Linked DNA regions of Elephas maximus indicus. The protein of the gene in region 1 binds, or shares a complex with, the protein of each later gene. Links are inferred from orthologs where the notes say so. Each region holds a gene or a part of one and is shown in the gene's direction. Other genes may lie near its edges.

Region 1 (3,747 bases):
GCGGGCCGCCGCAGCCACCCTATCCCTCCCCTACACGCACGCGGAAGCAGGGTTCGCCCCGCCTCCCGCCACCAGAGAGGCCACGCCGGCCTGCGCCCGCCGGCCACAGCGCCCCCGCGCGGCCACGGCAGGCCACAGCGCCCAGGGCAGGCTGGCCCTTTCTTGGTATGGTTGCCAGATTTCCCAAGTAAAAACGTTAAGAAACCAAAACCCACTGCTCTGAGGTCGATTCCAACCCATAGCGACCCTATAGGACACAGTAGAACTGCCCCACAGGTTTCCAAGGAAGGCTGGTGGATTCGAACTGCGCACATTTTGGTTAGCTGCTGAGCTCTTAGCCACTGTGCCAACGGGACTATTTTGGGCCTACTCATACTAAAATATTGCTTATCTGATTGAACTGGGTGTCCTCTACCTTAGGAGCTAACCTAAAGGTCGGAGGTGGGAACCCACCAGCCGCTCCACGGTAGAAAGCTGTGGCAGTCGGCTTCCGTCAACACTGCGGCCTTGGAGACCCGATGGGCAGTTCTCCTCTGTCCTACAGGGTCGCTGAGTCGGAACTGACAGCAGTGGGCCTGTCCTGTTTTTCATCTAGCAATCCTAACCAGGAGGGTGGTGGAGGCCTTGAGCCACGACATAGTCTACACAACACAAGCTGCTCCTTCGGAGCCTTCTCCAGCTCTGCTGAAGTGTAGCCTGGTGCTGACCGCGACAGCACAAAAAGTTCGGTAATTCTCCCGTGTTGGGGAGACGCACGCTGCAGGCCCCGGCCACGACGGAGACGGGAAAGGACGTAGCCACTTTGAAATAATGCTCCACACTCAACGCTCGATTCTTTGTTATAAATTCGGCTCTCTTAAATTCTTGGCTTTACTCTCAACTAGCAGCATGCTTCCAAAGAGGGGCACCAAACACATCAAAGGCAAGAACGGCGACCGGAAGCCTGGCCAGGGACAGTTGAGCCCAAGCCGGGCCCGGCACAGCCCAGACCGCCACCGCCCCGAGCGCATCCCCGCCTTTCGCTTTCTCCGAGGCGGGCGAAGGGCGCGCGCCTCAGTGTGCACAGTGCGCAGGCGCACCCAACGCCGCACATGCGCGCCGGCGGGAAGATGGCGGCCGGCTTCAAGTGAGTGTCGGCGGCCCGCGGGCGGGACTTTTGGGTTCAGCGGGGCAGCCGCCGCAGGCTTGGGTGTCGGCCCCTTCAACGTTATAGCTAGGATTCCTTCACCTGGAAGCGGTCCCCGCCGGGGTCACACTTCTTTCCCTGCCCAAGCAGGCGACCAGAGCAGTTGCGGTGAAAGGAAAGGGACTTTTCCCCAGTGGGACGGGAGAGGGAAGGGTCTGGGTGCGCGGAGCCTTGAACCCCCTGCGAGCGCTCGTCAGCTGGCTGGGTGGACGTGCAGACCCGGGAGACCGGTTGTGATCACACGCGCCTCGTTCTCCTTTCTTGTTATTTATTTCTAAAAGGATTGTTGCTTGTTCGGAAGTTTGAGTTAAACCTTTCTGTGCCGCTCTGGTGAAGCCCTTGGTCGCCTGACAACAATGTCTTTAAAAGGATAAAATAAGAAAGGAAGCCAGTTATATTGTAATACATTTATGTATCTGTTAATACGAGTACTTTTTAAAGTGAAGTTTCTTAAACAAGATCTAGTGGTGAATGTAGTAATTACTGGAATTTCAGAGTAATGATGAGCCTAAAGGTACCTTAAAAAAAAAAAACCTTGGACAAGTAAAATGTAAAAGGGACGTATCCGTGGGTCTCACTGGTGCTATTAATGTTATTTTGGTTTATTGTCTGTGGTCATAATTGAAGGATATACTAAGTTTCCGTTGTACACCCATTGCCGTCGAGTGGATTCTGACTCATAGCGACCCTTTAGGACGGAGTAGAATGCCCCGTAGAGTTTCCGAGGAGCGCCTGGCGGATTCGAACTGTGGACCTCTTGGTTAGCAGTGGTAGCACTTAACCACGACGCCACCAGGGTTTCCAGCGACCCTATACGATAGTGAAAATAAAAATGTAACTTTTCATGCTCACTAGGTTAAAAATCTCAGCTTTAGAGCAAGAATAGCATGATTATTTTAACACCTGGATTAAGTCATTTTTAAAGATGTCCAAGGGCTTTGGTCTCTAACCCTGTAATTGTTTAAGGAAGAGTGAAGAATAGTGATTTAGTGCAATTGCTACTGTGATAGGGCTCTGTTTTTTATAATTACTTATAGGTGATAACATAGACATCAGAATTCATGTAAGAAACTTAGCTACAAATTTTGGAGATTGGCTGGATCACCAGACCCTTAAGAGCCTTGCCAGTTTTGGGATTTATGTTAAGATTCTTTAATTTGCCTGATAAATTTTTAACTCATGCATTTCAGAACCGTGGAACCTCTGGAGTATTACAGGAGATTTTTGGTCAGTAATGTCACTGTCTTTTTCATAACAATATCATATGCTTCTTTTAAGGACAAATTTCAGATATTCAAATTAAATAATTTGAATTTGAATTTATTTTGCATTAACATGGTTTAATGTGTTTTACCTGATTGTGTGTAAAATATACCTGTATATGTTCCATTTTCATATAAATAAACATTACATTTATTCAGAAAGAGAACTGCCGTCCTGATGGAAGAGAACTTGGTGAATTCAGAACCACCACTGTCAACGTAGGTGAGGATATTTTGAGTTCTAAAATAGGATGTTGATGTTAAGCAGTTTGTAAAATAGTATTTTTCTTAGTTTTTGTATATTAGTAGAGAATTATTTGTAAGTTTACTACCCTCTCAACTGATAAATTCATTTAAATTTCAAAATAACTATAAAGTGTTTTTTTCCCTTTCTTCCTTCAAAACCACAAAGACAAGGCTTTCTTATGGGCCTAATACTTATTCAGTCTTCTTGATGCAAATATGGTATTTTCCATTTCCAACTGTATGATATGCCCAAGTTCTAGCCTGTGAGCCACTTAAACATATTTCAGCCAAATCCTACCATGTCTATGGAATTGGAGTGATTTCTTCCTATTAGATTTATGTACACAACGATCCTGTGACTGTCCATGAAAAATGATTAACTCAAATTCAAGGGCAGGCAAATATTTCTTAAAAGAGTAATTTTAAATAGTTATAGCATTTTAAAATCAGACTCCTGAGCTATAAATTTTCATAAGCCACAGACTACAGATGTGTAGATGGCTAATATTATATTTAGAAAACTGAGGTTAACATTTTAGTTATTATATAGATAATTCTGTAGCTGTTTTTTTTTTTTTTTAATGAACTTTTTCATTTTACCTAAATATCTTTTCAGGTTCAATTAGTACTGCAGATGGTTCTGCTTTAGTGAAGCTGGGAAATACGACAGTAATTTGTGGAATTAAAGCGGTAGGTTTAATCTGTATCTTATTGATGTGAATTAGCAAAGTAGTGCCATATATTAGATTGTAATATACTGTTCTAATTCTACTCTTGATTAGGTAGCTAGGTATCAGTTGTTTGATATTTACTTTAATTTTCAAAGAGCTTCTACCTATCTATGAGTGTTACATAATACAGCCCTAGTTTAATGACTCAGTTATAATTTAGGAACATTTGTCAAATGTACCAAAATGAAATTATTTTTAATCTCACCACCCTTTATTTTTAGAAACTGGTTGTCATTGCAAATTAAGAGATTTTTGGCAGCATTCTTTTAGCCAGTGATGGCATTTAATCTGTGTGAAATGTGTAGAACATAGAGATTGTTGA
Region 2 (3,747 bases), on another chromosome or scaffold:
CTACTCGAAGGCAATGGATTTGGGCTTTTTGGTTTTATAAAAGCCCAAAGGAGCCCTGGTAGCGCAGTGATCAAAGCGCTCGACTGCGACCCAAAAGGGTGTCAGCGGTGCAAACCTACCAGCCGCTCCGCAGGAGAAAGATATGGCATCTGCTTCTGTAAAGATTACACCCTTGGAAACCCTATGGGGCAGTTCTACTCTGTCCTGTAGGGTCGCTATGAGTCGGAAACAACTCGATGGCAACGGGTTTGGTTTTGCTTTATAAAAGCCCATGACAGGGGGATCTGGTCTCTCCTTCCTCTTTTATAAAGGGAATTCTTTACCCAAAAGAAAGACCTTTCCTTACTAAGGCAGTTTCATTCCCCAACCTTTGAGGGGAACTGTCTCGCCTTCCCCCATCCTTCCAAGCAGACGCGCTGGGGGTGGGGCACAACTCATAAGGAGTTCTCCTCCCTCAGAACCCACGAAGGGGCTGCCTCGCTTTTCTTCGCCCAAGGAAGTGGAGGTTCTTTCCTTGAGTGTCCTCTCCACGTGGTTTTCCCAGCCCTTGTCCTTTCCCTGACTGTCCTTTCTTCACTCTCTGCAAGCACCTCACATTCTGAATGAAGACAGCGTCTATATGCCTGTTCCCACTTAGAGAAAACTCCTCGGGGGCCCCAGGTACTCACAGAGCAGGCCACTCCCCGAGCCCCAAGTCGCCTCAGAAGCAGTAGGCCGGCCCTGCCCAGGCCTCGACTTGGCCCCCAAAACCTCGTCGCAGCTACCGCCACCGCCATCTTGGCTAACAGCTGCTCCTTGGCTCTCCTATCGCCTCGGGTCAGGGGCTGCCACTTCATGAGCCTGACTCTGCTGCCTGCACCACCCTGCCAAGAAACCACCTGCTTCCGCTTCTGGCGACGCTAGGACGCAGAGATGAGTTTACAAAACAATACAGCTTCCTAAAAAAGTCTCCGACCGCCTTACTGCTGTTGCTTCCGTAACAGGCAAAGAAGAGGGCTACCTAATCATAGCCTCAGGGTTTCAGGGCCCGGGGGCCTCGGGAAGAAAGCGACCATGCCAGGCTCCGCCCCTTCTCCGCTGTCCAATGGCTTCCCTGGAGTTGAGAGGCGGGGGTGGGCGGGGCCAGAGTGTTGGTAAACGCTGAGCCACGTGCAGCCGCCAGACGCAGCGCCGGGAGATGGGCGCGTGCGTACTGGATGGGTAGCTTGTACGCAGGCGCGCATGGCTGGGCGGAAGCTACAGTGGCGGACTGCACGTGGAATCCCAAGTGATGGAGGGGGCGATGCAGGTAGACACCCAGATCCGTACTGAGCCTGGGGCTGAGGCTGGCCCCGGGGGCCCCGGCTGCAGCCTCCGACACTTTGCCTGCGAACAAAATCTGCTGTCCAGGCCGGATGGCTCAGCCTCTTTCCTGCAAGGTAAGAACCCAGGTCAATACTGCCCGGGAAGAGTTCGCGCATGCGGTGTTTGTTTTTGGCGGGGGACGGCTACAGTGTACCGTGCAACGAGGAGTCCCTTTTCCCCACGATACTAGCTGGTAAGTGTCTCCCTTGTATTGTGTCTCCCGCGTGGATACTGGTTAGGCCGGGATAGATCTCTCCCTCCCGACTAGAAGTGGGAAGGTATCTCCACCCTCGTAAATACTTTGCAGGATGAGGGAAGGGCAGTCCTCCCCATAAGAATGAATACTCCAAAATAGGGAAAACTTTCTCATGGGGTAAGTAACTCCCTGTAATAGATTCGTCCTTCCTCACCCCACACACAGCCCGGGTCCATATATTCCAGGCTGAGGCAAACCTCCCATCTGTATAAATACCCCATAGACTGGCAGATCACCACCACGAGCTAGACCGTAGCTGTGGCAGCCTTTTATCCTAATAATTACTGCTGGGTTAAGAAAGATCTCCTTCATCCCAGCTCCACCAATTGTGTCAACACCCCTTTGACTGGGATACACATATCTGCATATGAGTAAAGATTGGGGCGAGTTATAGTTATTGGACGAATATTTTTTTCCTTGAGCTAAATACTTCTTAAGTTAGGCCTGACTCCCTGACCAAAACTGATTAAAAAAAAAAAAATCCCTGCTCTCATAGGGTTTACATTCTAGTGGGGGAGACAAACAATAAATAAGAATAATAAGTAAAACATATAGTAAAATGCTATAAAAATAAAGTAGGGAAGGGGAATAGAGTGTGCTGCAGAGGACTAGAATCTTAAATAGGATGGTCAGAGAAGGCCTCACTGAGGAGGTGACATTTGAATAAAGACCTGAAGGAGGCAAGGGAACAAACCTGAAGATCTCAGGAGGAAGAGTATACCAGGCATGGGGAACAGCAAGGACAAAGGCCCTGAGACAAGACCTTGTTTGAGGAACAGTCAGGAGGCCAATGTGGCTGGAGCAGCAAGTGGAGAGGAGTTAGTGGGAGAGGGGGTCAGAGGGTGGTAAGGAGAATTGCTGATGATATAAGGTCTAGAGAGTGAGATGGGAGCCATTGGAGGCTTTGAGTGAAGGAGTGCCATGGTCTGAATATATGAACAGTATCACTCTAGCTGCTTGCTCTGTTGACTGGAGGGAGCATAGTAGGGAGGAGGTGGTGATGGCTCAGACCAGGGTGGAAGCAGTGAGAGCCTAGATGCATTTTGAAGGTAAAAACCAACAGTATTTGCAGATGATTTGGTTTGGAGATACTAGAAAAAGAATCAGGGAGGTTTGAAAGCCACTGTTCTAGTCAAGCTTTGGGCTTTTCTCCAGATCAGCTGTGACAACAGAAGATAAGTTCAGTCTGGAACGTTATGTTTGCAATACCAGGAGTCCCTGGGTGGAGCAAACGGTTAAATGCTGTGCTACTAACTGAAAAGTTGGGGTTCAAGTCCACCCAGAGGCACTCAGAAGAAAGGCCTGGTTTTCTGCTTCTGAAAAGTCAGCCACTGTAAACCCTATGGAGCACAGTTCTACCCTGACCCGCCTGGGCTCGCCATGAGTTGAAATCAACTCGACTGGTTTGGGGGTTTTGGTATTAAACATCAGAGTGGAAATGTGCAATGGGCAGTTGTTGATACAATTCTGGAATTCAGAGGAGAGAGCCAAGTTGGGCATATACGCTTTGGAATCCTCTGGCTGTAGATGGTGTTTAAAGCAATCGATTGGATGAATCACTCCTGAAATGAGTAGAGATAGAAATGGGAAGAGGTCCTGGACTAAGCCCTGGTCTTCAGCTTTGAGAGTTCATGGACATGTGAGGAATTAGCAAAAGAGACTGAGAAGGAGCAGCCTGTGAGGTAGGAGAAAAACCCGGAGAGGGGGCGGACCTGGAGCCAAGAGAAGAACGTGTTTGAGAAGTAACGGTAGACAGCCTTGTTGGTCCTACTGAGAGGCTGGGCCACGCGAGCACAGGAGACCTATGGGTTTGGCAGTTTGGAGGTTCGGGAAGGTGACTCTGCCAAGGACTGCTTTAGTGGAAGGATGGGGTCCAAAGCTTTGTTATTCGGTCAAGGAGAAGAGGAGGAAGAGACAGGGAGTGAAGGCAAGTCTTGGGGAGTTTTACTGTAAGAGCATCAGATAAATGGGGCTGTGGTTGAAGATGGGAGTCCCCGGGTAACACAAATCATTCACGCTCTCAGCTGCTAACCGAAAGGTTAGACTTTTGAGTCCACCCAGAGGTGCCTCAGAAGAAAGGCCTGGTGACCTGCTTCCCCAAAATCAGCCACTGAAAACCCTGTGGAGCACAGTTCTACTTGCCATGA
Region 3 (3,747 bases), on another chromosome or scaffold:
CCAGACTTAATGGTCTGACTGAGACTAGAATGACCCCAGAGGTCATGGTCCCCAGACCTTCTGTTAGCCCAAGACAGGAGCCATTCCCAAAGCCAACTCTTCAGACAGGGCCTGTAAGACAGGAAATGATACTGGTCAGGAGTCACCTTCCTGGATCAAGTAGACACATGAGGCTATATGAGCAGCTCCTGTCTGGAGCGGAGATGAGAGGGCAGAGCGGGTCAGAGGCTGGCAGAATGGACACAAAAATGGAGAGTGGAGGGAAGGAGTGTGCTGTCTCATTAGAGGGAGAGCAGCTAGGAGTATACAGCAAGGTGTATGTAAGTTTTTGGATGAAAAACTGACTTGGTTTGTAAGCTTGCACTTAAAGCACAATTAAAAAAATATATATCCAAAATAGATAGTTTTTCCTTAAAAAAAAAATTAAACTGCCCTTCAAAGAACAGGACCACACATGCGTATGATGTAAAATTGTGTCTAAACGGTAAGAAAGTGAAACGACAGGAAACGGTCTGCTTGCAGAGTAGAGGCTTCCACTCCGACAACCGCTGGCTTCGCCCGGAGAACCTCGAAGGCGCCTCTCAAGAAGCAGCAAAGTCGAGCCAGTTGGCGCCGGGGACTGAGCGGAGCTGGACCCGCAGGCTCGGCGCCCTCGGGCCTCCGGGTTCTGGCCAAAGAGGTGCGCCCGGCGGGGCTGGGGCGGGCGTCCTCTGCCCACCGGTGTACCGAAGCGCAGCGGCGGCCAGAGCGGGAGGGCCCCGGGGCCGTCAGAACAGCGCCCCGCCGCAGGAAGGCTCCGCCACCGGCCGCGGCCACAGGCTTCCGTCCCGGGCCAGTGCAGCGGTCGTTCCCCGGGACCTGAAATGCGGAGTGGGGCCCTCGGAACTGTAGTTCCCGAGGTCGTAAGTAGTGACACGACCCCCGGAAACCCAAGTCCAATTGACCGGAAGTGGGCGCGGACTCGCCGGAAACCGAGATCCTGGAAGTCGGACGTAGGGAGCGGGGCCGCCGGGAACTGTAGTTCTCCGCGAGCGGGGCTGGCTACCTAGTGGCATGGCGGGGCTGGCTACCTAGTGGCATGGCGGGGCTGGAGCTGCTATCGGATCAGGGCTACCGCGTGGACGGGCGGCGAGCCGGGGAGCTGCGCAAGATCCAGGCGCGGATGGGCGTGTTCGCGCAGGCCGACGGCTCGGCCTACATTGAGCAAGGCAACACCAAGGCGCTGGCGGTGGTCTACGGGCCTCACGAGGCGAGTGGGTGTGCACCGGCCGGGCTACCTCCGGGCAGGTGGAGGGATCGGGCCGAGGCGGGAGCCGCGGGGCGCGCGGGCCGCGCGGGGCGCGCGGGGCGCGCGGGGCGGGGTGCTCCTCGGTTCACTGAGCAGAGGCGTCAGGGCCGCATCTCACTTGGAGTAGAAGCCGAAGTCTTCACTTGGGTGCCGCACGTGGTCCGCACTTCTCATCGGCCTTGTCCCTTGCGCGCTGCATTCTTGTTCGCTGTCCCTGCGGGTGCCGCGCGCACCCCACCGCCCCACCTGGGCACTCAGCCCTGTGGCTTGTCCGTCGCCGTCCGGATGATAGCGTAGCGGACCCCGTTATCCACGTGGCAAATTCTCTCTACGAGCGCACACCTCTATTCCTTTCTCTACCTTTTTGTGCCTATCACCTGAAAACATCAACTTTCTCAATAGATGAAATTTATGTTTGTCTCCCCCACTGGAACATAAACGCCACGAGGACACGGTGGGACCATTAGTTTTTCTGCCGCGCCCCCAGCACTGTCACAGTGACGGCGGCGTAGGCACTGAAGAAAATGTTTGCTTGGCGAATGAGTCTGGGGCTCAGCTTTCCAGACTGAGAGAACCAGAACGGTGGGAACCAGCACAGCGTGTGTGCAGAGCAGAAAGGCTACTGGTTGGTCGAAGGAGGAATAATTCCCGATGAGGTTGAGGGGTTTCCAGGAAGGAGAGGATCCGGGACCTTGTAGACCAGGGAAAGGTTTGGGGTTTATTTCACACGCGGTATGAAGCCTTTGAAGGTAAGCAGGACATGTGAGTGTGTAGGTGAGAACCAGACTTGGTGTTTGTAAATAAACTCTGGATGCCCCGTGGAGGGTGGAAGTGGGTGGGGCAAGGATGGAAAGAGGGAGGCAGTTTAGAGAGATGTGATGCCAGAGGTGATGGTGGCTTAGGCTGCCCAAGTGGGCCTCCCTCAGGCTGTGTTTCGGAGGTGAGTAGCTACCCTTTGGTGAGCCGTTGGAGGTAGGGGGAGGGGCTGAGGTTTGGGCCTGAGCCACAGAGGACAGGGAAGCGTGTGCTGGGAGAAGTGGTCCGGCTCATGGGCCCTTCCTCCCTAGATCCGGGGCTCCCGGGCACGAGCCCTGCCTGACCGGGCACTGGTGAACTGTCAGTACAGTTCAGCGACCTTCAGCACAGGCGAGCGCAAGCGGCGACCACATGGGGACCGCAAGTCCTGCGAGATGGGCCTGCAGCTGCGCCAGACCTTCGAGGCAGCCATCCTCACACAGCTGCACCCTCGTTCCCAGATTGACATCTATGTGCAGGTGAGCAGGCAGCAGCCCTCAGCCTGGGGGCAGGGATGTGGGGATGGAGCTGAGGGTTCAGCAGCCTGACCGACCGATGGCCTCGGGGGCTCCCTGCAGGTGCTGCAGGCAGATGGTGGGACCTACGCAGCTTGTGTGAACGCAGCTACCCTGGCAGTTATGGACGCTGGTATACCCATGCGGGACTTTGTGTGTGCATGCTCAGCTGGCTTTGTGGATGGCACAGCCCTGGCGGACCTGAGCCACGTGGAGGAAGCAGCTGGTGGCCCCCAGCTGGCCCTGGCCCTGCTGCCAGCCTCAGGCCAGATTGCACTGCTGGAGATGGACGCCCGGCTGCACGAGGACCACCTGGAGCCGGTGCTGGAGGCTGCTGCCCGGGCTGCCCGCGATGTACATACCCTGTTGGACCGTGTGGTCCGGCAGCATGTGCGAGAGGCCTCTGTCTTGCTGGGGGACTGACCACCTGGCCACCACGCTCTGAATAAAGTCCTGCTTCTCTGCTCACACGAGCCCTGCTGTGCTTCAGTCCCCACCCTCCCCACAGAGCTTCCACGCCCCATAGCCTGGCCTGGTGTTTGTTCCTGGGATAACCAGAGGCCCTCGACCATATGTCAAGTGCATACCTCCTGCACCCTCAGGTTTCAGACCTGAAGAGAAAGATGGAGCTGGGCCTGGGGGGTGGTCTCAGTGGAGAGAACAGCATGACCAGGAAAGGCTGAAGGCAGAGAGCTTTGACGTGGGCCTGGCAGAAAAAGCCAGGCCGCTACACTGTGGGGTTTGTACATCACCACCCACCACACCCTTCTAGGGGGCCTGAGCATAGGGCTTGAGAGAGAACTCAGTAGCTGTGGGTACCAGCAAGGGGATGTGGAGCCATCTCCCACATCCTCTGGGCCACGGCTCAGACTGCATGTCTCTTGGGCTCCAAAAGTACAGCAGACGCCTGCTCTCACTGGTGTCTTCTCCCTCCGAGGTCTGACCATCCCTGGTCGGACACACACACCACAGCCACTGCACCCTCTGCAAGCTTCCCTTTCAACAACCTCCTTTCTGAAGATTGGCTCCACCGCCTGCCACAAACCGGCCTGAGCCTGAGCACCAGCCCCTGCAGCGGGCACCAGGGTTAAAATCCCAGAGACCTGGACTAACCACCAACTCCAGTCACTCGGCTCTGACAGTGTCCAA

The links.
Region 2: EXOSC8 (region 1) and EXOSC5 share a complex: the UniProt entries of both Homo sapiens proteins name them as parts of the RNA exosome core complex. The link is inferred for Elephas maximus indicus from reciprocal best matches to the Homo sapiens genes EXOSC8 and EXOSC5.
Region 3: EXOSC8 (region 1) and EXOSC4 share a complex: the UniProt entries of both Homo sapiens proteins name them as parts of the RNA exosome core complex. The link is inferred for Elephas maximus indicus from reciprocal best matches to the Homo sapiens genes EXOSC8 and EXOSC4.

What each region holds. Positions count from the first base shown.
Region 1 is NC_064832.1:18,315,846-18,319,592, forward strand, and holds the start of EXOSC8 (exosome complex component RRP43), read left to right. Parts: upstream 1-1,062; 5' UTR 1,063-1,091; coding exon 1,092-1,126; intron 1,127-2,376; coding exon 2,377-2,413; intron 2,414-2,607; coding exon 2,608-2,671; intron 2,672-3,310; coding exon 3,311-3,384; intron 3,385-3,747. UniProt on the Homo sapiens protein: Non-catalytic component of the RNA exosome complex which has 3'->5' exoribonuclease activity and participates in a multitude of cellular RNA processing and degradation events.
Region 2 is NC_064829.1:109,793,447-109,797,193, forward strand, and holds the start of EXOSC5 (exosome complex component RRP46), read left to right. Parts: upstream 1-1,175; 5' UTR 1,176-1,270; coding exon 1,271-1,418; intron 1,419-3,747. Other genes in the region: BCKDHA (2-oxoisovalerate dehydrogenase subunit alpha, mitochondrial), read right to left, coding at 669-836. UniProt on the Homo sapiens protein: Non-catalytic component of the RNA exosome complex which has 3'->5' exoribonuclease activity and participates in a multitude of cellular RNA processing and degradation events.
Region 3 is NC_064833.1:815,099-818,845, reverse strand, and holds EXOSC4 (exosome complex component RRP41), read left to right. Parts: upstream 1-953; 5' UTR 954-1,078; coding exon 1,079-1,249; intron 1,250-2,355; coding exon 2,356-2,562; intron 2,563-2,661; coding exon 2,662-3,021; 3' UTR 3,022-3,436; downstream 3,437-3,747. UniProt on the Homo sapiens protein: Non-catalytic component of the RNA exosome complex which has 3'->5' exoribonuclease activity and participates in a multitude of cellular RNA processing and degradation events.